4 linked regions of the Drosophila melanogaster genome follow. The protein of the gene in region 1 interacts with the protein of each later gene in a pairwise test. Each region holds a gene or a part of one and is shown in the gene's direction. Other genes may lie near its edges. The genes, in order: CG6479, Def, CG17841 and IM18.

Region 1 (8,378 bases):
AAATACTTCGGCTTTGTTTATCGACTTGACGATGTACAACGCCGATGCCAACCTTTTCACGTTGATCACTCTGCGTGTGGAGAACAGCCCATTCGGGATCCAGTTGCCCCGTGTGCATGTGGATTCTGTGTCAATGCTGGGAAATGTGGAGACGAGAAGCAACTCTGAGCTTCTCATACTGTTCGTGTACACAGTCTTGGTCATCTTGTTCGCCCGCGGTGTGTTCACGAAGATCTGGCACCATCCGGCCGCCGCCCACGAGGCTTGGACTATGGTGGATCTGGCCATATATATACTGAACGTCTTCCTGACCGTTCTGGCAATAATGCGCGACATCGAGACGGATGCCCTGCTGCAGATTATCGAGACGGCCACCAAGGGGCAGTATCTCGACTTCCAGCGTCCACTGCGCCTCCACCAAATGCTGTTCATCGTGAAGGGCTTCCTGGTGTGCATCACCACTCTGCGGCTGTGGAAGGTGCTCCAGTTTGCCTCCGTCTTCCAGCACTTCACGCAGACCCTCTTCTCTGCCTGGCGGGCAGTGGCCAGTCTGGGTGTAATTATTCTGGTAGTCCTCATGGCCATTGGCATTACTTTGGCGGTGCCGAATGGAAACAACGCAGTGGTCTTCAGTCACATGGTTCAGTCCGTGGTCACCTGCATGTGGTGCGTATCCCTAAACATGGCAACTCTATTTGCTAGCTATCAAGTCATTAGGTTCAACCATGAACTAATCTAATTTATCCAGGTACTCAATGGGTTTTAACGGTGACATTCATCCTGCGGATTTCTTCCACGGAGGTCGTATTCTAGGGATCTTGCTCTACCTAGCACTGGTCTTCCTCCTGGCGATTATCTTGATGAACGTCTTCGCCTCCGTTATCTATGACTACTTCAACGAGACGAGCAGGATCCTAAAGGAGCATTCGAATCGGTCGTCTATCACCTTCCTGGAATTTCTGCACGTGGAGTATGCGGATCTTTTTGGCGATGCCTTTCGATGCCTGCGAAAGACGTACGAATCCCGTGGACATACTGTTGCCGAGAATGTGGAACTAGAGCTAAATAGGCGGGAACTGATTAAGTTCAAAAGGGACCTCATAAAGAGCCCGCAGGAGTTGAAAAGGGCACTCCTGACGGAAGAGCAGCGAAGTGCCGACTACCGTTTGCGCGGAGAGAAGTTGTTCAAGCTGATGGCTATCCTGAACCTCCAGGTTGAGATCCTCGAGCGAATGGTATTGGGCGACAAAGATGGCAAACTGCCCACACCACCTGCATCCGACTCCGATCCCGACGACATGCCGGAAATGTATCGGAAGCGCCGTTGATGATCGCCGTGATCGAATGGCAAGTTGATAACCACAAAGGCTTTTCATATTCACGAACTTTGCTATGTATTATTAACTACTTTGTTTTATGCCGCACGGCATTAATAAATGCGTTCCAGTCTAAGAAAGACATCAACTTGGTTTTTGATTGTCTGAGAAAGTCTCTGCTTCCAGTGATATAAAAATTGAGTACACAAGCATTGGGTTTAAAAGGTTATTATTATTTAAATTTTTTCATCGGATGATAATGACCATATATTCTAGTAAGAGAAAGAAAGAGCAGTTCTAGCAACACTTTCCATCATTTTCTATAGGTTGTGCTTTCTATTGCACTAAATGTGACTTTTCCGGCCCCCTGCGACCTCACTTCACCACCGATCATTCCCCTTCGCTGAGCAGCGCGACTTTAGAAATAAGCAGCGATAAATGATTTAATTAAAACACAGATTGGGACTTTTGTTTTCTTTTGCCGAGGGCGCGAATAACTCCACTAATTTCTGGGTGCTCACCTGTCGCGGGGGCTATGGATTTCTGGGTGCGCACGCTTTATTTCAATAATCCAAGAGAGGCACAAATTGGCAACTACATGCTCGTTGCTGCCTCCGCCTGATATAATGCCTGATGAAAGAGTGTGGAAAGAGCCGCGTGGCCAAATCTTGAAGGGGCTCCAAGCTGGCGGCACTAATCGCTCCCGAAACGCACTGCAGACGTCTCAATGCCAGCAGCCAAGCGGCGACGGTTTGAAATTGTCGGACTGCAATTTGTCGCCAGCGCTTGTAATGGCACCCACTCCAGATGACGACATGGCGACACCGGGACCCATATAAAATCCGCCGGTCTGCAGGCGTCGCACTCAGTTAACATGTTCGCGTCCCAAGGGAAGTTACTTTTGGCCTTTGGCCTTTGCCTCGGTCTCCTTCTAACCATAGCGCACGCATCCGCACAGAACGCGTCCAAGGAATCAGAGTCCTGGCAGCCCATGCAGCCGCGGAAACGACAGGCTATCGTGAAACTGGACCCCGTGGGCTCCGCAGTAGCCAAGAGCTACGATCCTCCCCCGGAGTTCTACCGCGGACCGGGCTCATCGTCATCCAAGTTGGATAGCACTGCAGCTGGCTTCATATCCAAGCCCATTGGTGCGCTGCCGCCTTTTGGAGGAGCTCATGGCTCCCAAGCTAGTGACCTAAATGATAACCTTAGCCAGGCCTATGATAAGTGGAAACTAGGTGGGAATATACACGATCGAATAAGCGTGGGTGAGTTCAAAGATTACTCAATCTATATATTCTACAAAGATAAACTCAAACTTAAAATGATTAATATTTGAAATTGATGACTGTTGTTTATTGTAGATTTCATTAAAAATATATTTAATACTATTTAAGGGCATTATGGCAGCAGTGGAAGTGCTGGCAAAAGTTACGCCTATGACAGTCAACCTTATCAGTATGACTACGGACCATCCAACGGACATGGCTATGAGCCAGGACCTGCTCCTGGGCACACCTACTCCTCCAGCGGAGAGGCAGGGGTGCCATACCACGTTTATCGACCTCGACCCGAACATGGCCACTACCCGGGGCCAGCAGTGGATTACTCCTACAGCTCCTACCCCATCGACTCCCACGAGATAGTCTCCCACAAGGGATCGCCAGAGATCTCACCAAAGGCCTTGCTGGCCAAAAGCTTCCTGATTCCGCTGGCCAGTGCCACCGTTCTGGGCATCGCCGCCGCCCTGGTCAGTAATCCTCTCCTGCTGCAACTAGCTCCTGTTCCGGGGATCGGTGTGGGAGTGGGTGTCGGACCTACAGTCGTTGGCAAACGAAGAAGGAGAAGAAGGGCAGTGAAGCGGGCTTTACGATCAGGGAATACTGATGCAAAACTGAATAGCTCTATCTAAGTACCGTCCTCTCGAAAATGTATTAAATCAGGAAACAATATATAAGATATTATTTTTAATATATCATATAGTTACAAGCGTGTTTTTTATTTAAAGTCAGTGATGGCATTTAAATAATTTTAATAATTTAAATAATTTAAATTAAGGGTCTAATGCTACGAGAGCCTAATAATTAGTTGTCTATATGGAGAGAATAAGATAACGTAATTTTAAGTGACTTGTGGAACCTTTTGTAATGGCTATATGTAAGTTTTTTTTTTACATTAGATTGCGTAATTAGTCGACTGAGGTTCAAACCGGCTCGTTGGTCTAGAGGTATGATTCTCGCTTCGGGTGCGAGAGGTCCCGGGTTCAATTCCCGGACGAGCCCCAGTCATCCCAGTGCGCTAAGGAATGTATAATTTTTAAACAAAAAAGTTATATTTTATAAATATTTATTTTAAAATATTTTTAAGTTATTGAGAATACACATTTAGTTGCATGTGTACACAATTATATACAATTTACTTAGGGAATGAAATAAATTAAAAGTTATTTTATATCATTAAAAACAAACTAAATTAAATTAAATTAAGGAATTTTTTAGCGTCCTCATAAATGTTGCAAAATTGTTGAGTCTTCGGTTTTGTACGGCTTATGTCATAATATATTGAAGATAGAGAAAAAATTTGTTTAAAAAACAGCTAATTTTATAACTACTCTAAAAAATATTATAAAACACTGCATTTAAATGATAAATTAAAAGTTGCTGATAAGTAATACGTTTAGAGTGGGTGAATAGCTTTAAACATTCGGATAAACAAAAAATCATTTTAAAAATCATAAAAATAATTTTAGTTCTATTAAAAAATATGATATCATGGATATTGATCCATACCAAAGAAAACATCGCCGATAGGTGTGTGTCTTCGCTAGGGAAAGTGTCTCCGCTAAGGTATCTTGAGCCAACAAAGTACATAACGCGTTTCATTCCAAACGGTATTTATTTTTTGACCTTGTGGTATTCTAACTTTTTGTCTGTGCTATCACTTACAAACAAGTTTTCCCGGCATTTTCGACCTATTCAGGTGATTTTCTAATAATTATCACATAGTAGGCAATGAATTTTACACGGACTAATTGGTAAGTGACAGAAACTAGTGTAGAATTCAGAAAATTAACCCATGAATGCTCCTCAGCTCGCCGCTGAGTAAAAACCCAGTGGTGCAGCGCAGCCTGGACTTGCGATTGCAGGGCGCCCAAGCGCGGCATTACCTCAAGTGGTGCTCCATAAATGTGGTGCTGCTGTCGCTACTCCTCTTCGACCTCTGGCAGGCATGTCGGTCCGCCTACAGGACCTACTGGTTCCTGGCGGAGTGCACCATTACGACCCTGATTGGCCTAAGTGCACTCGCCTGCTTCGGCAAGTATTTGTGGTTATGGTTTGGTGGTGACCAAGTTACGGGTAGCGATATCCAAAAGTGGCTGCTTGATGGCAAGGCAGGTGAGGAATCCAAAGGAACCCGTTCTAACGCATCCACTTAACCACTTTTATTCCTATAGAGAACTCTTTTCGTACAGTTTGCTCCCGAGCCGTGATGAAACCACGCAGCTACGAACCGGATAGCGATATAGAGGACGACATACCCATCATCAACTGGCACTCCTCCTTCGAGGACTCCTGCTGGGGCTCGCAATCCATGCGCCGCAGCCCCAGTCCCACAAGGACGCCGCAGCAGACGAAACAAAACACCTCTTACAACTCCTCGATGGTTCGAAACAACTCGCTGAATGCCAGCAATCTGAGCAACGAGTCTACCTATATGTCCCCGTATGCGGAGGTGCGACGCGATGACTTCATGACCGATACACGAAAGTTGACCAGTCTAATGAAGCAGGCGGATCGGGAGCGCAGCATGATGGACAGCTCGGATACACCCAATGTGCAGAGCATGGGATCGGCCAACTCCTTCTGGAACTACTGCAACAATGCGGCCTATATGCTCAAGACCACCATCTATCAACTATCGCCACCTCCGGCTGTTTCTACGGAAAATGCTCCCACCTCGATTGAGGAGTTTGGCGGTATTCAGTTTAGGGACAGCAATTCGGAGGTCATCAAGCGCATATCCACGGACAAACTGTCGCAATATGTGGCCAACCTAAGATTTGTAAGCATCCCGTTCAATATTCCACTGCAACGTACTAATGTCTTACCATTTTCTAGTGGATTTCTACGACCATACTTCAGCGTTTGGTCAAAGAGATCAATTATGTGGACGATGTTTTCCGCCAGCGAGCTCTGATTGACATTAAAATTGGATCTGTGAGTGTAGAGAGATTACGCAAAACAGCCGAGAACCAGCAGTTCGTGCAGACGTGTGCGCCCATGTTGCCCATGCTCTTACCTTTCCTGGACACCTTCAGCAACCAGGAATACCTGGTGCAGCGCATCAAGGAGCTTGCGCAGGGCTCTTGCATAGCTGACTACCGCTGGTACTCGGGCAAAACACACAACGGTCAGCAGCGGGACGAGCATTTGCCCACCGATGCAGCTGTGAGTATACGAAATTCCGCAACTGAGCACTCTTGATTAATTGTAACCTCATTCTGCAGATAATATTCCATTTATTTTGCGTGTACTTGGATAGCCAGTTGATGCCGTTGCCGCAGGGCGGCGGACGACCCTTTCACTCCCGCTACGTGTTAATTCGCGACGAGAAGAGCTCGACCAAGGACGTGGTGAACGCAGTTCACAACAAGGCCCACTGCGCCATTTTAAGTACCGGCAACCCACTTAACCCTAAATTTAACTTTATCAGCGACAAAGAACTACACAACTGCGTCTACGATAGGAATAACCTGTTCTACGTTATCATACAGTTCCTAATTTATATGCGACAGCACCAGGACTCTGCTCTGGAGTGCGTAAATCTTGGCAAAAGTGGTATCAACATCATGTGCGTCATCGAAGACTGAACAGTGGAACTAGTGGCTATGACTTTTAATCCCACCCCTAATCACTCCTTACTTCTAAGCATGATCCTTTGTGACTCGACTAGCGTTTGGTGACTGGACAATCCTCATCATTCGTTACTATGAAATTATACATTTGTAATTATTAAGCCAACTTACGACTGTTGTGGTTTCGCGGTTATCAAGTGTCGTGTGGCCTGCGGTCTGTGCAATTAACTTGTTTGGCAGTCGGCGGTAAGCTATATTCGCGGATATGTGCACACAGGTGCCCGACTTTAATTGCCCTTTCATGATTCTCACTATTGACCAGCCAGTTGGTGACCTGGCCATTGGCTCGGCCAGCGACATGCTCCCACATGCTCGCCACTTTGCACTTCCGAAAGTGACAAAATTAATGGTTTCCGCCGACGCTGTCGACATTTTGTCGAGTGAGAGACATTGAGAAAATGCTCCAAAGTAGTGCAAAATGAAGGAGTCGCAAACGGAGACCCCTAAAGCAGGCGCCAGGACGAGCAGGACCTGGGCCCTCTCGACCAGTCACATTACCATTTCTCTTGGCCATGCTCATTTCTGGGCTCTGGCTTGACGTTGAATCGGTTGGCTGGTTATTTTAATGCCGCCCATACTCCCGGATGCCCGGATGGCTGGATGGCTGGCACCTCGGGTGAGTAATGTGCCTGGGTTGTCAACTTTACACTTTTATCCCTCGCATTATATTTGCTTTACCTACACAAACACACACACTCAGCCACCCAACCGAACCGAAGCGAACCACACACCCTGTGTGTGTGTGTGTGTGTGTGTGTGTGTGTGGAGTGATATGTTTTCCTGATACTTTTTCTCAAGTTGTAAATTGGCTTAAAAATAATTTGTCAAAGCATTTCAGCCGCGGAGTCGGGAGACGCGATGCCTAAGATGGGAATTGGAGTTGGAACTTGGAGCGTGGAACGTTAGTATCTCCTTGTGCCGAGCCATTTTCTTGTCACAATATTTGGACCCTCGCCTGCTTGAGTAAAATTCCTTTAAAGAAACGCATGTGCGCGTCTTCATATCCAATTAGAAAAGTTTTCCTTCGACTGCTTCGTAATTGTGTTGATTAGTGCGGCTCGCTGGGTTGCTCCCGAGTGGGTGGTGGCTGGGTTTCGGGCGGATTCTCCTCCTAATACCCTGCTGTTGACAAAAGAAGCCTTCTTTGATGGGTGGTGGCTGGGCGGATTGTGTGTTCCCAGCTGATGGCACTTTAAAAATAAATGCGCATTAAATTCGATTGGCAATCGTCTCACACTCTCGTTGAATGGGCTTTTTCTTTACGGCTTACACAAATTTTCATCTAATATTGCTTTGAAGCAGCTTAACTATCCTTGAGACGAGGACGTCTTTGGGGCGTGGCACGGGCAAAGAGGAAAAGTGTAAGTGGAGCACTTGTCAGCTGAAGAAAGGAAAAGTGGCGGAAGGTGTGAACACTCAATGGCCATTGCTATTCAGTTGGATGTGAACATTTTGTATTTAAAGTAAATATGTAAACGGATATAGATGTTCTGATTCAAGACATGTTGAGTAAATCCATGGCATTTATTATAAGACCAAAGACATAAGTAGGGCATTAGGTATAATGTTAAAGAATATTGACCTAATGCCTAGTATAGTTTATATATAAATAAATAAATATATAATAGGCATAATAATAAATATTATACTCTGTTTAAATACTGAAGGCACTTTTAAGTATAATTAATCAGGTTCAAGTTGGCTTAAGCCCAGGAAATTTAAATACCCATTAACTTCATTAAAGTGGCCACCAAAGAGCTGCAACTATTTGAATTGATGACAAGAAAATCGTTGAACATATCAAAGGAGCCACTTTTAATGACAGTTCATTTTAATTTCATTGAGCTGCATAAAGCCCGGTAAAACTGCAGGCAGCGAAACTATTAAAATGATTTTATTATTCCACCTCCGCCCGCTGGCCAGGCACTCACTTAGCCACCAAACTGGATTCGTTGGCCTGGTCAACCAAATATTGACACACAATAAGCTGGTCGCAGTCGGAGCTTTTACTTTTCGGCTTTCCTTTTTGGCTCCGCTTATTTATTTATTTATTTTGCCATCTACTCCGCTGGGGTATGGGGCATGGGGCATTAATGAAAAAAATATTTTTGCCCATTATGCGCCAATATGGTCAGCCATATTTCGGT
Region 2 (6,700 bases), on another chromosome or scaffold:
ACCCTCTTAGCCACAAATTATAAACAGAGACAGCTCAAGGATTGTTACCAAGATAACGACAAAATTATTGACTGACAGTTCTCACGCTCGAAGAACGAGGCGGCGAAGAGGAGGCTGCAATGGGCGGAGAAGAATCAGAAGAACAAGCTCCACACTTTAAATACTTCTTCACACTTTGTCATCATCAGGCAGCTTAGTGACATTGGCAAAATGACTAAAAAAGGTATTTAAATGAGAATGAGAAAGGATTGCTAGCCTTTTAGGTCGAATCTGGAATACGCTTTAGTAGTAGCACGAAAGATACGACTGCATATAAATGCCTGAAATGCGAATTCTTCAGTTCTATTATGCCTGTTTTATGTCAAATAGGAATAAGAACGAAATCGGTAACTTCTCTTCTTAAATCAAATGCGAATTCCTACGCTTTGTGGACACAACCAATTGTAAGCGAAATTTTGATTTAATTTTAAAGGGTATAGAAATAAAGAGGAGCAAGCGCGCAGGAAAGAATCGCTTTTGACTTGTGATCATTTTGTGTTCTCCTTTTTGCAGCTCCTCGCGCTCTTTTTCTTTTTTCTGCAGGAATAAGAAACACGTTCGTTCGTCGGTCAGATGAAACAAAAACAAAAATCAAGGTGTGGGATTGAAGACAGGCCAAGGAGGAGGCGATCAGAAGAGGAGACAAGAGAAGAAACAAAAAAAAAGGAGGAGAGAGAAGAAGAAGAAGGAGCCGGCGACTCTCTTTTCGGAGTTTGGCAGACAGCGCGGCGGCGAACAAGCTGGAGAAAGACAGGGAGAAGAAGAACGAGCGCAGCTTCTTTGTTGGCTGACTTTTGGTACCTTTGATACCTGGAATATTGGAGTGTTTTCTCGGGATTTACGAAGTAATCGCTTGTAGCCTTGGCAGAAAGTTTGGCAGGCTCCGCTTACAAGCACTTGTACAAATTGTACAAAAGACTAAATGCAACTTCAAATGATTGCCGTCATCATCATATAACTTCATATATGAATTGGATTACTAGATACATCTACCTATGTATGTAAAAAGTTCTGAGAGGTAAGAACTTCTAGAGAGGAATATGTTCGCCGGCTGAATAATCTGAATAATGATATTAATTTAACACCTTCTATTCAAAATGTAATATTGTAACTTAAATATGAGTAACTGTATAAATTCAGCAAACATTTTACTGCACATGATTAACCCAATTCACTTTGGTTTGTTCGGGGAATATTTTGTTAACAATTTTTCGAAAGTAAACTTACCAACTGATCGTCACTTTTTCCAGTCGCAATGAAAACCGCCAGCCAAGTGACGAACAAAACACATCTCGCCAACATTTCACTTAGCAGTTCGAATTCGTCAATTAACTGTTACTGTGCTTCGGAGGATGGGGGATTGGTTTGATACGCGTGTTTATTGCATCAAGTACGATTCTCTCATTATAATCAAAGTTTTTCGTTTATTTCACCATCTTTTTCGCAAAGTCGCAATTAGATTTTCTTCCTAGAACTTTTACTTTGCCGCTCTCCGATTTATTTATTTACCGATTACCGTGGTCTATTTATAGTGAGAGAGGTGTGTGCGTGTGCATTAAGGTGTTGTGGATCTTCTGTTTATATAATGCGTCTTAATGTGTGCGATTTTTGGTTCGTTTCGATTGGAAAACCGTCCGAAAATGTTCAGGAAGCGAGGAGCGAGGAGCACGGATCACAACGAATCTGCAGAGCGCACTTCAATAGTCAACCGATCGCAGCCGAGTTCCACACACGACTGGCCATTTGCCTTGGAGTGGAGTGGCCCAAAACGCAAGAGAGAGGCCCCAGGTGAGAGTGGGCGAAGAATCGGATTCGGAATCGGAATCGGAATCGAGCTGAGAGATCGGCGGAGAGAGCGAGGGACATCGCCGCCGCCAGAGTGTCTGGCGTGTCGCTTCCAATATCTTATCTTTGCCACACTCCGACTTGTGGAGGCTGGACGGACAGCACAGTGGAGCCTCTCTCAGTTAAACCATAGGTCAACGGTACCGAACGAAGATATTGTGACTGTAATTCCAAACGTGTGCTTGAACGACTAATTAACTATCACTACCCCATTATTAGTACACTAAAACTAAACCAGCATTAAAACAGCATTTTATGTATGAATTTATAACTTAGGGATGTTCTACTGTAGCAGCATAAAAACGATCACATTCACACACCAGCAGACAGAGAGCAGCACTTGTGTATGCGTGTGAAATTTATCTTTCCTTGTGCATCTCAAGAGGTTGCCTCACCAACAAAAGCAACAAAAAACCTCTAAAACAAAGCGGCCAACAGTTGCACCAGCTGCTCAGCCAGCGGGGGAGGGGCCAGGGGCAAGGGGCGCAGGGACGTCGGGGTAGGGGCAGGCGGTCAGGGGAAAACGTGAGCCGTCGAGGGCCCCGCTCCTGTGATTTATAGAGCCGCTGGCCAAGGAGTTCGCCTGGAGAGGATTTTAGGTGGATGGAGGAGGCGGAGGCGGAGACGAAGTGGAGTTGCCGGTCTCCGTCTTCGATTCGGTGTGAAACCTGCCAGACAGTCTGACGGCGGCGATAACTGCCCCCTCTTGCCCACTACTTGATATACCCCAACACCCCGAACACCCCCGTTCCTGCCGTCACTTTGTTTTCGGCTGTGCCACACTCCGTTTTGTGGTCTTCTTCGATGATCGAGCATGCACTGGGGAAAATATACCTGTACTTGTAAATAGTACCTTCGTCCAGAAGTAGCAACTCTAGCTAACTCCAAATCTTCTACAATATTGAGGGATCTATAGATTTGGATTTTGGGATGTACATATGCAGTTCTGATGCGTACACCTATCTATAAGCCTTTACATATTACAAAAAAATCCTCATGTATTGATATTAAAGACTCTCTGTGGAAACGCAAAAGATTCGATATTTTCTCCTCGTGTGAAGATGGGCATGCGGGCAACACTCTAGACTGTAGACGGTTGTAAGGGGCGGGGTAGAAACTCAAGTGGAGTGGACTGGCAGACAGTATGACGCCAAAATGCAAGACAAGACAACCTGGTCGATAACAAAGGTAAACAGGCAACGGCCAGCCAAGGAGCAGGGCAACTGAAAAAGCCTCGGTCGTGGGATTCGATCGGGATTGTCGGCTCAGCGCGACTGGGCTGAGAACCAGATGCAGATGCCGATACAGATATAGATACACGTACGCGCAGATACGGATTCAGATACAAGTACACCCGCCCCTGCCGCTGTATGCCCAACTAATCATTGTGTGATTCTTGTTTGTTTATTTGCCCGGCATTATGAAGAGACTTTTCGGTAGAAATTATTTATTGTCGCATGTGTTTATGTATCCGTAACCGAGTATCTCAGTTGCTTGAGCCAACTGTGTAGCTGTGTAGCTGTGAGTATAGCCCTTAAAGTGGCACCCAATCGGTCAGTTAGCTAGAAATTCAGATGATTAAATATGGATTCCCCTACATCAGCTAATTTCAACAGTTTGGGAGTAATAAAATCGAAATTGGATGCTACTAAAGGGCACATATTTACTTAGGCTTTTATCAACGTTGCATATATACAAATATCCTGCATATTTCGCAAACCAAAGATTCTTTCTCAAGTAAGGCCTAAACAATTTGAAATGGTTAATTTCGTAGATGTTGCTTTTTACAATTAACTTGTCATGTGGAATATACTTTACTGCCTAAAATTTAAGGCAGTTAAAATCCCTAGAAATGCAAATAACTTATTGCAGAAACGGGCTCTGTCGGCTGTATTTTGCTCTTATCTATGAAATATTGTCAATATTTTCCAGGCAAAGCACATGAAATAATGATCTAGACAACGGTTTCTCCCATTTGCAGTGAACTTAAAAATTAAAAACCCCCGAGACGTGTCTTCCTGCACAGAAAAAGAGACAATGGGAAGGTAAGTCACCGGGTGGGAGTCCCTGGGCCGAATCGATCAGCCCGTCGCATTGCTATATAAGCTCGGCGAAACCACAATCTGCAACAACAGTATCTCTCCAGTTGTATTCCAAGATGAAGTTCTTCGTTCTCGTGGCTATCGCTTTTGCTCTGCTTGCTTGCGTGGCGCAGGCTCAGCCAGTTTCCGATGTGGATCCAATTCCAGAGGATCATGTCCTGGTGCATGAGGATGCCCACCAGGAGGTGCTGCAGCATAGCCGCCAGAAGCGAGCCACATGCGACCTACTCTCCAAGTGGAACTGGAACCACACCGCCTGCGCCGGCCACTGCATTGCCAAGGGGTTCAAAGGCGGCTACTGCAACGACAAGGCCGTCTGCGTTTGCCGCAATTGATTTCGTTTCGCTCTGTGTACACCAAAAATTTTCGTTTTTTAAGTGTCACACATAAAACAAAACGTTGAAAAATTCTATATATAAATGGATCCTTTTAATCGACAGATATTTAAATATTATAATGATTTGTAATTATTACTAATTACTTTTTATGGAAATAATTGGTAAGAAGGAACTGGGACTGTAAAAATTTCTTAATAGTTAAGCTACTATTTTAATAATAAATATTGATCACAGAAAATTTTCAAAATATTTTATATTTCTTTGGCTTTATAACTTTCAAAGTCATAGAAGAACGACTTAATTATTCCTTGTGTATGTTCCTTAGTCTTAGTCTGTGAAAATAATCTGCGTTTATCATTACCAATTCGTACAACAAAATATCGGTCATTAGCGTTAGCGACTTACCATATAAGTTAACTAAACCTAATCGAGCTAAAAAAAAAATTGAGGTCCCGAGGAGCACGATCTATATATACCAAATATATACGTATATATTTACTTTGTTTAAAAAAGCTCTTAACGGGAGCAGTTATTGGTCTTCATGGCGATTCAAGGCAGATTTTAATAAAGAAATATTAAGCTCAGTAAACTTTACTTAAAAAAGCAATACAAATTTGAAATTCTTTTTAAATTTGTATAATTTCTCCCATCGATTGTTTGCGTTGTACTTTAATATAATTTGGTTACATAAAGCTTTTGCTGTAGTTTCCAAACATACAATGTCATATAACGGCATAATTAGTCAGTTTCTAACTGAGCAACAAACGGAAACAGCTTTCGCATATACTTTATTCCGCATAACTTTGAAAAGAAACAATAATATTTTCTATTCTTACGACAAAAATACTCATTATCATAAACCGGCAGCCTTTCAATTTACTATAAAACACGAATGCAACCTGAACGAGCTGGAACAGTTCTCGATTTCATATCACAACATGAAGATCACGATTATTCTGGCGCTAACTCTAGTTGCGGTTTGCTTAATGCAGGTTCGATCTATTCCGAAGGATTCCGAGAATAGACTTCTGCAAAAGGAGCTTCAAAGGAGTCTTATCCAGGATGCGAAGGAACATGTCCGCCCAAGGCGACAGTCCTGCATTGAGCGGTGCAATTCCCTCTGTTCGAAGAAGGGCTTTAAAGGTGTTTGTGTTAAAGGTTTGTGCCGTTGCACTTGATTTTAATAAGGAGATATATATTTTTCTATATATTTTTAAATAAAATCCACATTAAATCTATGTGTTTTCTATTTAAGATTGCGGTGCTTCTCGAACTCATTCATAGCTGAATAAATTATCATCGATCGCTTATCTCGTAGCCCGCGAATGCCACTTTCCGTTTGGCAGGGTCAAAAAATTGAACCTACGCTAAAAGGTATAGCAACAATTTGCATTGCATTTCCGTTTCTTTTGCGGCATTGCTCTATAAATACGGCAAGTCCGACGACTACAATTCGTTCTTATCAATTAACCGAGCAAACAAACAGACGCCAAGAAAAATGATCATCAGTGCAAGCGAACAAGGGGAATAGGGAAGAGAAACACGCGCCGAGAGAGAAACACGACACTTAATTAACGCCAATTATAATGGTTAATAAGAGTATGTAGAAATCGAGGAACGCGGCCGACTTGTGGGTTTCTTTTAATTTACAAACGCTTTGCCGGTTAATTACGCGAACCCCTCGTCCTCACATCTCGATCCGAAAACAGAGCAACCACTCGCGAGCGATTCTCCATTTGCACTGACTCTTCAGTTATCGGCTCACTATATAGTAGCACATCGGCTAATGTACATAAGTTTTCGATCTAGAGCTAAGAGAATACGAGAATTGAGATGCACATATGTATATAATGCAGCTCTCCCCCAAACTTAAACATTTCAACGTGCATCGTGCTACGATCAAGATTTGAATTAACGCGCGCACTTGACTATCGATATTTTTTTTGTTCAAACGATTTACAAATGTTAAACGACATCATTTTATGTGAATCATCAAATTAAATCTCTTAACGACAAGTACACATATTTCATTTTTAGCTTAAAATAGGTAGAGATGGTCACCTTAAAAATATTTGATAGCCAAAACTGGCGTTAGCTAGAAAAGTTCTATCGATAGCCGGGTATTATCAATAAGGTTTCTTTAAAACGTTTACCACAATTCTTGTGAACGCTGACCCAGACCCACTGACCGCGTCCCTCGTCACCACATCTTGGGCATAAATTAAGTAGAATTCTTCACTTATCGCTGCAGAGCATCAAGAACCACGTCGCTCTTAAGTCGTCGTAAATACAGCACACGTCTTTATCAACGCCGCACTTTTAAACGGAAGGCGCTTCTGCTGACGTGGTTAATGCAATTAGTTTCCACGCGTTAAA
Region 3 (8,387 bases), on another chromosome or scaffold:
ATAGCGGAGTGCACTTTAACTGATGTGTGGATGAGCCGATAAGGAGACAAAGAAAGCGAAACTCCGTTCAAACTGAATCAACAAGACGGAAATACGTGTAGCCGTGTGTGTGTGTGTGTGCAAAGTGGGCGCATTCAGTGGGTGGTTGGTATTAACCGTTACGTCAGCACTTTTCCGCCGCAATTTGGTTTTCCTATTGGCAAATTGCGAAATGAAAACTGAAAAGTGCCGTTAGCCGGTGGCAACAAAGTTGCCACCTGTCGCAGAAACGCGCGAAAGCGAAAGAACGGTGGCAAACGAGTTGCCAGCTTGTTGTTTCGTCATTGTTTCTGTTTTCTACGTTACAAATTATTTAGCTGCTCCAGCGTTTGCGTTTCAATTGCAAATTGCGACAAAAACAATGAGCTTTTGCGCCCCAATCAGCGATTTCAATTGATATATGCAGGTTGTTCGCCTGGTGGCGATGTCGCAGATGGGAAATTGTTGCACGTTAAGTGGAGCATGGCGCAAATGAGCACGCCGCGCACGAAACAAAACTCGAAATAATACAAAGTCTGAGGTGGCGGGAGTTGGTTTCCTTTTCTTCTTCTTTATTTTCAATTTTTTTTTTTTAAGTGGGCTTGTTTGGCCACAGGACGTTGCCTATTTTCACACTTAACTGCTCTGGCACACACACACACACACATGGACACACGCACACTCACTTTTCGTTGTTGTCAATTAACGCATTTTGATGTGCCAGCACACGAAAAAACAGTAGAAAAAAAAAGAAGTATATACAACATGGCAGCGGTAAATTTCACCATACGAAAAAGTACCAACTAATATCCCACTACCCCCCCTTCGCCAACAAAAGTCCACTCGATGATGATTTGTCTTTTTATTTTCTGTGAACCTTGTGTACAAACAACAGTTCATAAATATATTGAATACACCTTCCAAAAAAAATACGAAAACTACGCGCCAAGTGTGCATAGCCCGCCCCTGCAAATAGATGGGCTGTCTTTTCCTCAGGTGTTTGTTTCTCTGTCTTATTGGAATTTTCGTCTTATTCGAACTGCGTAGCGTACAAGAAAATAACAACCAGATTTACAGCCAACACACACACACACGCATACAAGCAAAAGCACATTGACAGAGACACACACACACACGTACGCAAAGAGACAATCGCACACACACACACACAACACCAACAAGGTGGATTAAGACAGAGATGGGTAAAACAAAAGAGATGGAGAAATAAGCAAATAACTGCGAAGCACCCATTGTCGAGTTCACTTACACACGGCCGACGCAAGTTCCGATGCACTGCAAGTGATGGCCAAAAGGATCGCAATTTGCGCGCACGCACTACCGACACTCTTCGCCATTGTTCAACCGTTATTTCAGCCGTTGCGAGTGAAAAGTAAAGTACGAATGCTGAGCAACTAGAGATGGTACGCCATGCTAGGCTTAATCGATAGGTACGATGCGGCCAGATAAACTGAAATAATCGATAAAATATCGCTTATCGTTTAGAATTCGATCTATTCGATAGGGTGTCCAATTTTAAAAAATGTTCGATAAATACGTGTAAAATATATTCAGAAATGCAGTCGAGTACAAATAAAAATAAACAATTCAGCACATTTACGCTTGAAAATGTTATGCTAAATAGCATACATTCCCTTATCCCGACCATTGATTATAGTTGTACACCTCGTTGGGCGAGCAGAGATTCGGATAGTTGGAGTTTCGTCCTGTAGTGCATTCCGAGGCAGCGGTTCCCGCCCTGTAAACCGGGTTATTCACCACATTGGTGACCGCGTAGTTGCAAGCCAGCAGGGTGGCCTGCACATTGTTGGCGTCCGTAAATCGAGCAATCGCACAACCCACTCGGTTATTTCGCTCGTTGACCATGGTGGTGAAGTGGCCAATTGCTCTGGAAAGGAGTTAATGGGATTACCAAACTCGCTACGGCTTGGTGGTGTACTTACGGTCCACCGCGCATCTGATAGTCCTCCATGTCGCCACTGGTCGCATCCCGATTCTCATCGAACCAGGCGGCGATCCGTTGGCGCAGGAAGACCGCCACATCCACACTTCGGGTGAAGAGAATGCTCAGATTCTGGCCGGCATAGCGATACGTGTTCGTGTTGCGGCATTCGTCGTGCGCCATGCGGCACTGCAGCGCATTGTAGGCGGCCAGTTGGGCCAGTGTCGTGTCCCAGGACATTGTGGCCATTTGGACGGCACTGGGGAAGCCACTAACTCCACCGCCAGCGATCAGGTTGCGGCGTTCGTTGTGCAGCTGGAGAATCAGCGGGATGTGGGCATCCACTTGGACAAACTCGCCGCTGCAACCGCTCACAAAGCGCTAGAAAAAGTCGACGAACAGGATTAGACAGGATAGAACGTGAGAGCGTTGGAAACAGGTACAGTTGAACCTTCGTAACTATGGAAGTTCAACTTCATTTGTGCAGATTTATCATCGTGTGCATCAACTTACACCGCTGTTTTGGCAGGCCACGTGTCTTCCACTGGGACACAGTTCTGGATCGCAATAGTTTTGTGCGAAAGTAAAAGTGAAAATGATAAGGACCAAATATAAAAGGAAAATCCAGCAGGGAGATCGTGACATTTTGGTTTCATATACGCAAAATTACTAAATTTGCTACACATTTCGCAAACAGACATAACGTTCAATGAATGGAGCGACGCACGTATTTATTTAGGCCGCAGTCTGTCTTTTGATTTTGCGACGAAGTAAACAAGTGCTTTATTAAAAAAAAAACATATTTAATACATATATGCTGATTGAATGAATGCACGCTCGAGTACAGTGCGGACCATAAGTAAATATTAGTTACTTGTTTTGTTTTATCCCGTAAGTCCCTTCGAATGCTGCTGTGTATTTTTAAATGTTGCAAAATAATTAAAGACAATTTCGAAGACTTTTTCAAAATGTCAAGATATAATCCCCGTGATGGGCTAAAGCCGTGACACAAACCAACGGCTAGTGGTATTCTTATCGTTATCGCTGCAGTTATGTCTTGCAAATATTAAGCTATATATAAGTGCCGTTACTATGCCCAAAATTAGTCCGAGCTCAATTTGATAATTGATATTACAAATTTGAATTAGTTTGCATTTCATCAGGGGTGCTCTCCCAAAATCAAGTTTGGTATTTAAAGTGCGCTTGGTGTGTGGCCACACCGGCCGATAGGCACGCACAATCGAAGAACGATTGCCACCGATTGGTTGCGACGACGAATCCGCACGAATCCATGAGCCCTCGCACCGCCGAGTCTTCCAGCTCCTCCCGATCGCCCAGTCGTCCAATCGCCATGTCCCAGACGCAGTGCCGCCTGTAAACAACCGCCGAGTGAAGTCCGCAGCCCGCAGTCATCGGTAGCAGCAGCGTCAGGAGTCCGGAATCCGTTTCTCGGTTTCCGCAACAGGTTGCGTCGCCTTCGCCAACAGAAGGTTTTAGTGCGAGCTTTGATCAGAGCGTGGAGTGCGTATACGCGCCAGGATGCAGCAGCGCCGACAGCCGGCGAATGGCAACGGCAGAGGAGGAGGAACCACCGCCGCCGTCCGTACGGAGGAGCAGCAACAACAGCAGCAGCCATTGAGTCAGGATGCTGGCGCCAAGGAGGCGGGCAGCACGCCGGGCAAGGCAACGGGACGCGGCTGCTATTTCTCGCTGGCCTTCTCCATCGGTTCGATGGGCCTGGCCTGCGGCAGCCTGTGGCAGATACCGAACAGCAGTGACCGCATCTCGCTGCAGCGCGGCCTGGTGCTCACCTCGCTGGGATTCATCTATTTTGTCTCGCTAACGGACTTCTGCAACAAATACCTGCTGGAGACGACGCATGGACAGCGCTTTCGTCGCAAGTACCGCCTGATGATGTCCGACGTCCTGGAGATAACCAACAAGTGAGTAGGAGTGGACGCCCACGCAATGCACGGATGCGGCTGTCTTGCACGCACATTAGTATCGATTTTCCCGCACTGCCACCCACACACGCACTTACTGCACTTGCGTTATGCAGCCGAACGGGGTATTGGCGGGTGGTGGGGGCTTTCCATCCAAATAACTCTGTGGCAGCCAATAGTTGCCCTTTTCTCGACCACATGATCTACGCAATCTATTTATGCGTTTCTAATACTTATATAAGTTCATAATTATAGACACTTCTGTGTTGGCTAAATCATTACCATGAGTGCAACTGGAGCGATTTAGTTAAATTCTCATGTTACTCATATTTCCACACAGACTTAGTTAGACTTTTGGGTTGAAATTCAGATAGCTAAAGATACAGCTAGATGCTGTCATCGATTACGTAGGTAATTGTTGGCCCAAGTAACAGGTAGTCTCACCATCAATCATATTCCCGCCTTACGTCTTTGGGCGAGCATGACGATGACTCACCCAGTGACATTACGCTGCGGAGCTTAATTAGGTTAGACTATGAAGTGGAAACCTACCCAAGTGGCTACCCTCCCTACCTTCAGTCTTATCTTGGGCAATTTATTAGCGGGCGCGAGTTAATAGTGAGTGCCTAGCCCAGTTTTAAGTACGCATTTTGGAGGGCACTTGCTCATCGACGTGTAGACAGATGGAATCGAGCGCGCTCGGCTGGACGCTGGCTGGTGTCCCCGACATTCGGCAATGGCGTTCCTTAGCCGACACTGATTTATATCATCATCTCGAGCACAGCGACATGCGGGTCAAGGTCTCGTGGCGGGCGTGGGATGTGGGCGGTGGGCGGTTGGATAGAACGGGTTTTGGCTCAAGGCGAGTCGGGTTTCGAAACGGAATAATTGCGTGGAGAACAAGCATCCATCGACTTGACGACGCATTTAACTAGCCAGTGAAACATGCTCCAATTTCGCAAAGCACAAATATATCCTGAAATTCAATTGTCCATTTGGCAAAAGGCATTTGTGATCTATTCTCCCTTGCTTGAGCGAGTGAAATTATTTCACAGCTTTTCAATTCATCTGATGCAAGCGTACAAAACGGCCATTTATTAGTAATTGCCCAACTATGGAGTGCCCCTTGCCTAACTATTACCCCCGCAGTCCAAAGTGTTAATTAAACTGTGTGTAGAATTGTTTAACGCGCTTAAATTGAGTTTCGCTCTCTTCTCATTTCGTATCTACTCCCCTCCTGCCCTCATCACCGCCAACTGCGATTACAAACATGCACATTTGTCATGATGAAACAGAGAGTGCCGGTCTATATGGGTAACGCCATGTGTGCCCAATTGCTGTACAGGTGTTATACAACCCGATCTCTGGACGGGAATTGGCTCAATCTGCTTTATCAGTAGACTTGGATAAGCGCTCATCACATGCTTTCTTCCACAATGAGGTGTATACTAGATCTTGGGTTCTCTTCTTTACCATTTGTAAAGACTTTTCCCTTTCTCAATTTAAGTTGAGCTACAGAATTTACTGCCTTAGTTATGCTATTCAAATTGTATGCATGGAATCTATTAGTATCCGCATGACCCGGGTTACGCATCTAATCATCAAAGACCCTGCCAGACGACCCAATTTCCTGGTGGCTAATTGATTCACCACGATCGTTGTAAGTCCAACAGACGCACTTCACCTCCACGCTGGGCGATAAGGCAATCAGCCGGGGCTCTAGTGATTGGCCCCGCCTATCTGCCCGTCCTCTATCTATCTATCTATCCGGGTCTGTCTGCTCTGGCTTCTGCTATCGGGGAAACGAATCGATTTGGGTGAGTGAGTGCATCTAGCATTGATAAGCGGCTTGTCGTTAGATGCTTAGAAGGAGGCTTTCGAAAAGCTCGAGAATATTGCGAGGAAAAACTGGGTATGACAACAAACAACAACAAGCAACCAAACAACGTAGAACTATTTAAAAAAAATTTTCCATCGCCACTACTCGCCATTTCCCCGAGCCCTTGACTTTCGTCATAAATCTTAATTGGACATAGTTGAGGCTATTTGTTTATTTACATTACCGCTGGCTCGCTTGGATTGTGGACATTCGTGGCGCTTTGATGGCGACTCAGTAACCGATATCTAAATCACATTCGATACGATTCGATTGCCCTATCGTGGCCCAACCCAGATATTATACAGCACCTGTACGCGAATACATATAGATTCGCATGTGTAACATACATATGTGTATATATATAGTGGGTATAATATAGCCGACGACTATATAGTAAAATGCGCAGCCGGTAGCGGGGCGCAGTGACACCTTTTGGGACCATTCATTAGGTAGAACCGGCTGCGCTTCTAATTGGAACTAATGCCCACATTCGATGTGGGGGACTTTGCAACGGTTCTGTTGGCCTGAGGCCGAGTCCGATTCTGATTCCGATTCTGATTCCGATACCGATTCAGTGCCAGAATGCTACTAGTGCTCCAGGGTGCGTCCAAGGTTAAGTGATCACTTTGCACTAGGCGGCGGAATCACATTTGACTAATTGATTGCGTGGGCAAATGGGTCAACATCTATTGTAGTCGCAGAAATGATGTCAAAAGTTATGGACTAAATCCCCAGTATTACATTGCTATACATTTCTTTTAATATTGACCATTAAAGCTGTATTGGTTCTATTAAAACATTAACCAATTATTATCGAAGCACTTCAGCTAATTTGAGTCTATTTCAAGCGGCTTCATTACGACTTGGGGGGTTGGGCAATCGCTTCGTATTAGTTGGTGGCGCCAGTTCTGCGCTAATGACCAACATCCTGGCATTGAGCAATCGCCACAGCAGGACCTTGGCCGGTTCCACCACCCTTGACCTTTCGCAGGTGCGCCTGGTGGTGAAGTCATCGTCATTGCCATTGCGTGGAAACCCTATGTGAGTGTATATGGATATGTAGAACTTGAACTGGAGTGTGCTTAGCTGGTATTATGTTACCATTTATAATTGAGTGGTAGTTTATTCAAAGCCTACAAAATCACGTATAATTTGTAAAGGTTAAAAAAAGGATTGATTTTTCACATCTATGTATGCTATGGAGATCAATAGAAATTGCTTAGTTTAGCTTGTGGTCCACGATGCCGGATACTTGGTGGTCAACTCCAGATTGCGCAAACCTCTTATCACTTACGCAACTTGCCCCTTCCCTTGGACTTGGACTTCCTCTTCTTGGAGGGGCGAGAGGTTTTGGTCTTGGTTACGCCACAGTTGCTGCTCGAAGTTAAGCTGATGCTGATGGAGCTGCTGCTCAAGTGGAACTCACTTACTTCTGCCTCGACAGGATGAAAGCTCACTGATTTGGTTGTTCCCTCTTTGCGTTCCTCCTCCTTTTGAACCGGCTTCTCATCCAGTAGCTTTTGCTCCGTCTGTTCGATGTCGTCATAGGTTATGGCCTGAATCATTGGCTCATCTGGCAGAATAAAGTGGTCCGAGTCCGCCACGGAGTGTCCGAATTGCACCGGAGAATGAAATGACATGGGAGCACCGGTAGCCGTGCACAGACGTTTAGGTTCTGGTTGATAGTTGACTGGTTTTGGCAAACGCGAACCAGATTTCCATATGGAGGACACCTGCTGCAGGGAGTTCATATCACTTTTAGGCGCGTCACCGTCTCCAACGCCCAGGCTATGCACCGATGTAGGCACCTGGTCAGCGCCACCGGCAGCGCGAGCTTGGCGATTGGAGCGTCGACGACGAGCACGAGATGATCGATCCTCGGGATATGGCATCTGGGCCAACTGCTCCATCATCGACTTGTAGCGGGCATCCAGCTTGAGCGGTGGCACCTCGTACGGACCATTTAGAACTGCCTCGGGATCTACGAATATCTTTGGCTTAACTGCCGGTTGTGGTGATGGCTCCTTAACCTGCGGTGGATCCTCCAGCGGCACAGGCACTCCGCCCAGTGCTTTCAGCTCGGGATCTATCTTAGGTGATCCCTCCTCCGCTGCCTTTAACTGCTCTTCTTCGCTGGCCGCTGCAGCTGCTGCCGCCGCTGCTGCTTTTCTACTTGCCCGCCTCGAGCGTCGATTGGGCGAAGTGGGAGCGTTAAGTTGACGCACCATTGGGCGGTAAAGGTAGCGAACTACCTGTGGCTTCCTGCCACGCTTTAGGGGAATAGACACGAAGTACTGGTAGCTCATATCGATGCCGTCTTCCATGGTACGAGGCACTTTGTGCTGTTCCTTCCTAATGATCTTGCCAACAATTGGAGATTCTGGTTTTTGCGGTTCTGGGGGAGGCAGAACTTTAGGGATTCCAGTGGATGTCGAGGGCTGGCGCGGTCTATTGACCGAAACGGAAGGTGGTCTCCGGGCTGGAAATCTCGATAAAGTTTTGCTCTCTTCAATGTACGGATTCCTTGATATTCCTGCCTTCGACTCTCTGGACCTCGGAAGCAAAGAGCTTTTCGATGGATTCCTCA
Region 4 (7,109 bases), on another chromosome or scaffold:
ATAAAGCCAAAATATACCAACAATATGCAGTTATTGTACGTTACGTACTCCATTCGGGTCTATAGTCCGTATACGAAGCACAAATGATATATGTGGTTCTATGTGGTTTAAAGGGGACTATGTGCTATGGGTGATATGCTAATGCTGGATTTGCATCACTCTTCTGGAATTTCTGGAAATCACGGGGTGATTCCTTCGAGTAGCTTTCGAACACCATAGGCCAGGTTTATTGGCCTTGTTGTAGCGATTCAGACACTGGCTGGCACACAAGAAGTACGAGTATTGGCCAGGTCTCGGCGACCCCGTTCGCCGTTCGATAAAGATCTTAATGAGATAAGATTGAGCACAAATCGGGCGAAATGGCAGTGGCGCTTATCAGGCCGATAATTACGGCTGAGCAAAGCCCCCCGAAAATCGCCTTGATGGATTGATCCATCCTGAATGGGTGGGCGGGAGCTGCTCCCAAATCTGCGCTCGATAATTAGCATTAAGGTTTTATAATGGATTTTGATTGATTGCCGTAAATTTTGCTGGCACGTTGGGTCACTTGGGCAGCCGCCCAAAATTGCGGCAGTAGAGTTCCGTCAGCATGTCGCAACAGAAGCAAAAATCGCAGGAGTCCAATCCGAACGCCAGGTGGCGCCTGGAAGGACACCAAAGGAGTGCGATAGCCTGCTTCTTCGGTGAACTGGCGGCGACTGCCGTCTTCGTTTTCATAGCCTGCATGGGCTGTGTGGAAACGCCGCTGTTCCAGAATTCGCACTTTCGCAGTGGCCTCACCTTCGGCCTGGCCATTCTCATCGCCATCCAGTGCTTCGGCTCCGTTTCCGGTGCCCACTTAAATCCGGCCATCACCCTGGCTGCCTGGCTCTACGGCGCAATCGGTTGGATCCGGGCCATTGCTTACTTTGTGGCCCAGGCTGCCGGAGCCCTGATAGGCTATGGTCTCCTGGTGGCTGTTCTGCCTGGGAACTCCATCAAGGGTGTGGACAACCCGTCGGGTGTTTGTGTGACAATTCTGGCCCCCGGAATCAGCGTACTTCAGGGGGTCTTCATCGAGTTCCTCATTACCTGCTGCCTGGTCATGGTGGCCTGTTCGGTGTGGGATCCACGGAACGCCAAGCTGCAGGATTCGGTGCCCGTGAGATTCGGTCTCACCGTCTCCTGTCTGATCCTCACAGCGGTTGGTATTTCGGTGCGTTTCAAAGTTGCGAAGTGTTACTTAATGGGAAGTCTGTTGCTTTTAGGGTCTCTTCACGGGAGCCAGCATGAATCCGACCAGATCACTGGGTCCAGCTGTTTGGAACGACTCCTGGGCACACCACTGGATCTACTGGGTGGGTCCTTTGGTGGCAGGAGCTGTGACCTCGCTGATCTATCGCATGGCCTTTAAGGGCGACGAGGAGATCGATCTGAGGACTTCCGATGCCAAGATACGAATGATCGGAGAGGTTATAGTGCAATAGGTGTGAATTGAATCTTATCGAATAAACTATATATATATACGAATATGTTGTAATAATAGAGCCACAAAATATTTAGGTCGATTAAGTAATTAAGCACCACCTTGTATTATTTCCATAGCATACAATTGGGATGAGCGGCGATATTGGCCATTTTTTTGGGGGCTCGTATTCGCTGGAAAGTTTGTCGAGTTTGTCATATATATCAATAGGTCCATAGGTCTTTGAAAATCATTATCAATGGCCATTGATAAGTAGCCCCTTTTAGAATTGCTCAGCTTGATAGCGAATGAAATGTTCTGCGTTTCAACCATTACAACAGGCGGCTTAAATCATATTGATTAGATGGCTTATAGCCCCCTTTCTAGTGGGACACTAACTTAGTGCCTTGTCACATTTTGAATTGCCTTAAAACGTCATAAAGTGGACATACGCACTCGAGTGAATGGAGCACACCAACGCGAATGTTTGGCAATAGTTGGGTAGATATGAGTATATAGAAACGCTGGCTGATAACCCACCTAAGGCGATTAGACGAGATTGCCGGCGATTAAGAGCCGGCGATAGAGTATGCGATTCGCACCATTGAGTACTTGGTCTGGAGTGCAGTCCACGTCGGACCACGTCTCCGTTAAAGTCAATCGCTCGTCGCGACGCACGTAAATCATGGCTACAACCGCAAGGTGATCCACCAAGTTCCAAGTCTTAAAATCAAAATCTAAAATATCCTCGAAGAGTGACTCAAAAAAATTTAAACACAATGAAACCCACAAGAATACTAAAATGGAATACTCCTCTCTATTTCGCAGCCAATCCAACTGCTGGCTGCTGCAGCGCCGCCAGCTGGACAGCATCACAACAGTTCTTGCCGAGATGATAGCCACCGCTATGCTGATGTTCCTCGGATGCATGGGCAGTGTGGAGAACTCCGTGTTCACCAACTCGGACTTCCAGAGCGCCCTGAACTTCGGATTCGTGGTGCTAATCTGCATCCAGTGCTTCGGTTGCGTGTGTGGCGCCCACCTGAATCCCGCCGTCACCCTGGCCACCTACGTCTACAACATGATCTCCCTGCCGATGGCTTTGGCCTATTTTGTGGCCCAGATGGTGGGCGCCTTCATTGGCTACGGCCTGCTGAAGGCGGTGCTCCCGGAGAGCGCCATCTACAGCGCTGAGAACCCCAATGGCGTCTGCCTCACCTCGCTCAACAGCACCTTGACCCCATGGCAGGGACTGGCCGTGGAGTTCCTGATCACCTGCGTCCTCATCTCCGTGTGCTGCGGCGTCTGGGATCCCCGCAATGCCACCAAGCAGGACTCGCTGCCAGTGCGATTTGGTCTGGCCATCGCATGCCTGTCGCTCACAGCGGTAAGTTGATTATTGTTCGGAATAATTCAGATACAGTATTAGATATATCTTATTTTGTAATCCACCTTAATGTCTGTTTGTCCAAGTAATACCGATACAGATAAGACTGTCTGCTCTTAAGAAATATCAAATTGACGATCCGCTATGCTAAAATTCCATTCACTATCTGTTTTCAATTTATCAGGCAAATGCACTTGACTTTCTCGGTATCGATGATAACCTTTCTTTAAATGGCATATATACACTTTTAATATAGACATTTTAGCCATCCCATGAAATGCAATCAATAGGTATCAAAAAAATGTTCTTAATAAACAATTGTAAATCCCCCAACAGGGACAACTGACTGGGGCTAGTATGAATCCAGTCCGATCCTTTGCTCCGGCCATTTGGAACGGATTCTGGGATGACCACTGGATCTACTGGGTGGGTCCCATGGCGGCTGCCCTGATCACCTCGGTGATCTACAAGCACGCCTTCCGGCGGGAGCTGGAGGAATCGGAGGTGGACGAGACGACGATGTCAACCAAGAGGACCTCGGAGGCGGAGCTCGCCTAAATGGATTTACTACACATAGGACAAGTTATCGTTTAAGTTCGTGTTCGTGAGAGCGGAGAGAGCGGATAGTTTTAAGTTGCGAAGCGTGCAAATAAATAGCTTAAATAATTTCCAACGCCTGACGACTATATATTTAATCTAATGTAAATGCTATGCTTATCTAAGCCAGATTATTTTTACGCCACGGCGAACTGCTTATCGTTAATATTTAATTGCTCATACACTTGATCAAATAAGCCACACGGTAGCCAAAAACGTCGAGCTTATGTTTATTGTCACAGCTCAGTTGCACACTGGAATTTCCAAGGGCTTATAAGGTGGCGTATACGCATGATTCCACACGAAGGGCACCATGATGGCGGCCAGGATCTGGCCAGTCAGCTGCATTAGAACCGAATTCGGACTGCCGTAGAATATGGCAGGCACCAATGTCTTGGCGGGGTTCATACTGGCTCCAGTTAGTTGAATCTGCAATAAATGCATATATAGCTATAGTATCTATAGATACAAAATCCAAAGCCTTTCAACTCACCCCTGCGAAACTGCAAGCGATCACGAGGAGACCCATGCGAATGGCGACCGAGTCGAGGAACCTTCCGTTTCGCACGTCCCACAAGGAGCACCATCCGAGCACGAGGACCGCGGTCAGCAGGCACTCGATGATGACGACCTGGTATGTGGACAGAGTGTCCATCGGTTGTACCAGGCAAATGCCTGGCTTGCTTTTGTCCACCAGCTCCTTGGGCAGCAGTTGCATTAGCAGGAAGTAACCAAGGAAAGCACCGGCCATCTGACACACCACGTACATCATCATCACTTCCAGGGCGATGTAGCCCATCAAGTAGCATGAGATCGAGATGCATGGATTCGAATGGGCTCCGGATACGAAGCCAAACACGTGCATCACCACCATCACCGTCAGGCCATAGTGAACGCTATACGATAGAGTATTTAACAATATTCTATTATAGAAATCTCACTAAGCATCACCTGGCCACCAAGAATTTGCTCTCACCACCTTGGTTCGTTGAGTCTCCCATGCAACCGAGCAAAATCAGTAGCGCAGTGGCACTGAACTCGGTGGCTCCGCGTATAAAGGTAAAGAAGTCCCAGATCATCGTGAATTATCCGTAATATGTAATGTATCACAGACAATTTAAGGAAAAAACTAACTAACTAAATGATCACTGACTAACTATGTATGTCTGAGTATTGATTCTCCTACCGAATTCGTATATTGGAAATGTTTAACAAATATATTCGCAAAGCAAGAGGGGTTAGGTTTACTTGGATCATTTGTTAGCCATTTTTGAATGTGTTTTTGCCTCACCTAGTTGGCGTGGAGAAACTTATTAACGAAAAAAGCATAAGTACACAAATTTGACGCAGAGCTTAAAGTATGTTTCGGGGGGCTTATAAGATTCTTACTTTTTTAAAGACAAGAGATACCATGTTTCTATGGTAAGTACGTCCGCAATGTGAGTTCCCTTAAATCCACAATTTCCATGCAGCAAGAGACGACCGTTTAGCGATCTTTTTGACAAAGGAGGCAGTGGCGGTATCGACACGTATCATGTTGTGAGTATCTCCTAACTAAACATTTCAATGACTCATAAAGAACGTTTACCTCCAAGAAACATTTGCAGGGGAACAAGGGAAAAGAGGCAAGGATCATGGAACTGACCGCACAAATCGAGTCACTTGAAATGCAAATCAAAGCCCTTGAGAAAAGTAAGTCGTCCGAGGCGAAGACTGCGAGGGGTAAACTTATATTAGTGCTCAAAGAGTTGAAACAAGCCCTCCGAAACATAAGAATGAATAAATAAACATAAAACTAAATGATTGCAACAACTTGTTTGTACTGGCAAGGGCGATGGTAATTTTACATTTGACATGCGTAACCAACGCGCCACCTATGGGACAGCAAGAATGCGTAGCATAGTTTTTGGCATAGCGAAGAATGAGATAACTATAAAATGTGGTTATATGCAGAATTTCAGCTCCATATCAGCAGTTTGCCAGTTTGAAGTATCTTCAACACTTTGCAATTACTTTCAAACTTTTAGAGATAATCAAAATTAGCTGTTTTCATTTTCGTAAGCATGGACATTAACCCAATAATCAGATCTATTCTCAGCCGCTTCAGAGGCTGCACCATCAGGTAGGTTGCATTCTGTGATTATACATATTCAATCATAACATTTTGATATATAGAAGTTATCTGGTTGTCCTGCCCGATCAGAGTCGCATAGAAAATCAACTAAAACTGGAGGATCTGCAAACAGTAAGTTGTTACCTTTCAAGATAGATGATACAAAAATCGAGCGCCATCTAATCAAATCCCATCGTCAGGAACGCGGAATCTTGGATCTGCAATCCCATGAGCTGGCACTCAAGCAAAAGCGCGTCGAGGCCAATCTAACCGACCTGACCCGCTGCATCCGTGGCATGGAGTTCGATGTGAAGGTGAATTCCAATCGCGAGAGGAAGGAGAGAAAATCTGATCGACGCCCCCCAGCTGATAAGAAATCACCCAAAGTCGGTGATTTCAGCGAATAGCAAAATCCCCCCGGGTGCTTCCCAATCCCAAGGGCATACGAGTGCAGCGTATAAAAACAAGCTATTGCCGGAGGTCGGCATTCAGATTCACTTGAGATTGCCAACCATGAAGCTGATCGCATTGTGCTGCCTGCTCCTTTTGGGCCTCCTGGGCTTCCTAGCTGCTCCCGGCGTCGCCTCGCCATCTCGCCACACTGGACCAGGAAACGGATCGGGATCTGGAGCTGGGTCCGGAAATCCGTTCAGGTCTCCAAGCTCACAGCAACGACCACTGTACTACGACGCTCCGATTGGGAAACCATCGAAGACTATGTACGCCTGACGTAAAGAATGAAACAATAAAGATTTGAAACGCCTAAACTAAATTAATCGCCCAGTTTCCTTATCTTACTTATGAAATGGCCTTGATACACATCTGCTTACTATTTATAAAATGCGTAATAATTATTTCTAAATTTATTGCAAATTCTAAATTTCATATCGAAGTAGTTGCTTTTGACCGTACGTCAAATATCCACATTGTACTTTCAGACTTGTAAAATGTATTTCTGCCACACTGATTTCGTTCTATCCTAAACTTAAGAAGCCATGTTTCCTGTTGCACGAATCTTAGGCTCGGCATCGTGCAACAGGCTATTTCAACCTCAGGTGCTATGTCAAGAAAGAGTTTGGTATGTAGTACTGGAAATTTATCCAAACTTTATTTGTAAATCTTCTAAATATTAGTTGGCCTTCCAATGAGTTGCACAGAAATTTACCAAGGCATAGAAACTTTTACCACGGTAGAAACATTTTCCACCCAAGGTCGAATAATAATTTAAACGAATTTCCTGCTAAGTAAGTATTTTATTATTCAAATGACCCGTAAAAATAATTTTTTTTTTACATATGATAGACGTCAATTCACTGACAAATTTTCCGAGAAGGGCAGAGGCGAGGAACTTAACTATGTTCTCAAACTTGTATGTATCGAAACTATTTAATGTTGTGAATAACCTTGTAGAATTGGGTATTCCATAGGCCTCAGAGCAATTTATGAAGATAAAAAAGAACAGGGTTAAAGAAATCGCCAATGATATCGTCAAATTGAAAGAGGAGATCAAGATTTTGGAATCCAAAACTAGCCACAAATCAAGGAAACACAAGGAGAATCTGCTAAAG

The links.
Region 2: the proteins of CG6479 (region 1) and Def interact in a two-hybrid assay, tested with the Drosophila melanogaster proteins (one large-scale study listed by BioGRID).
Region 3: the proteins of CG6479 (region 1) and CG17841 interact in a two-hybrid assay, tested with the Drosophila melanogaster proteins (one large-scale study listed by BioGRID).
Region 4: the proteins of CG6479 (region 1) and IM18 interact in a two-hybrid assay, tested with the Drosophila melanogaster proteins (one large-scale study listed by BioGRID).

Annotation. Positions count from the first base shown.
Region 1 is NT_037436.4:17,335,129-17,343,506, reverse strand, and holds CG6479 (uncharacterized protein), read left to right. Parts: upstream 1-4,244; 5' UTR 4,245-4,327; coding exon 4,328-4,350; intron 4,351-4,370; exon of another isoform or gene 4,371-4,395; coding exon of another isoform or gene 4,396-4,406; coding exon 4,407-4,711; intron 4,712-4,770; coding exon 4,771-5,378; intron 5,379-5,434; coding exon 5,435-5,764; intron 5,765-5,823; coding exon 5,824-6,186; 3' UTR 6,187-6,335; downstream 6,336-8,378. Other genes in the region: brv2 (brivido-2), read left to right, coding at 1-666, 749-1,328; CG13727 (uncharacterized protein), read left to right, coding at 2,191-2,584, 2,714-3,228.
Region 2 is NT_033778.4:10,051,910-10,058,609, reverse strand, and holds Def (defensin), read left to right. Parts: upstream 1-4,033; 5' UTR 4,034-4,042; coding exon 4,043-4,321; 3' UTR 4,322-4,432; downstream 4,433-6,700. Other genes in the region: magu, read right to left, coding at 1,267-1,341. UniProt on the Drosophila melanogaster protein: Responsible for the anti Gram-positive activity of immune hemolymph. Expressed in the absence of immune challenge during metamorphosis.
Region 3 is NC_004354.4:10,364,839-10,373,225, forward strand, and holds the start of CG17841 (uncharacterized protein), read left to right. Parts: upstream 1-3,213; 5' UTR 3,214-3,517; coding exon 3,518-3,921; intron 3,922-6,878; exon of another isoform or gene 6,879-7,086; coding exon of another isoform or gene 7,087-8,387. Other genes in the region: l(1)G0289 (lethal (1) G0289), read right to left, coding at 1,286-1,373; CG32679 (uncharacterized protein), read right to left, coding at 1,672-1,924, 1,980-2,359, 2,492-2,623; CG32686 (uncharacterized protein), read right to left, coding at 7,087-8,387.
Region 4 is NT_033778.4:23,600,115-23,607,223, reverse strand, and holds IM18 (immune induced molecule 18), read left to right. Parts: upstream 1-5,450; 5' UTR 5,451-5,491; coding exon of another isoform or gene 5,492-5,550; intron 5,551-5,603; coding exon of another isoform or gene 5,604-5,673; intron 5,674-5,741; coding exon of another isoform or gene 5,742-5,948; 5' UTR 5,949-6,054; coding exon 6,055-6,270; 3' UTR 6,271-6,310; downstream 6,311-7,109. Other genes in the region: Eglp3 (entomoglyceroporin 3), read left to right, coding at 590-1,183, 1,248-1,466; Eglp2 (entomoglyceroporin 2), read left to right, coding at 2,273-2,831, 3,168-3,389; Eglp1 (entomoglyceroporin 1), read right to left, coding at 3,672-3,857, 3,922-4,324, 4,380-4,507; CG43209 (uncharacterized protein), read left to right, coding at 4,789-4,850, 4,901-4,967, 5,024-5,215; CG10332 (uncharacterized protein), read left to right, coding at 5,492-5,550, 5,604-5,673, 5,742-5,948; CG42559 (uncharacterized protein), read left to right, coding at 6,537-6,619, 6,675-6,785, 6,844-6,910, 6,969-7,109.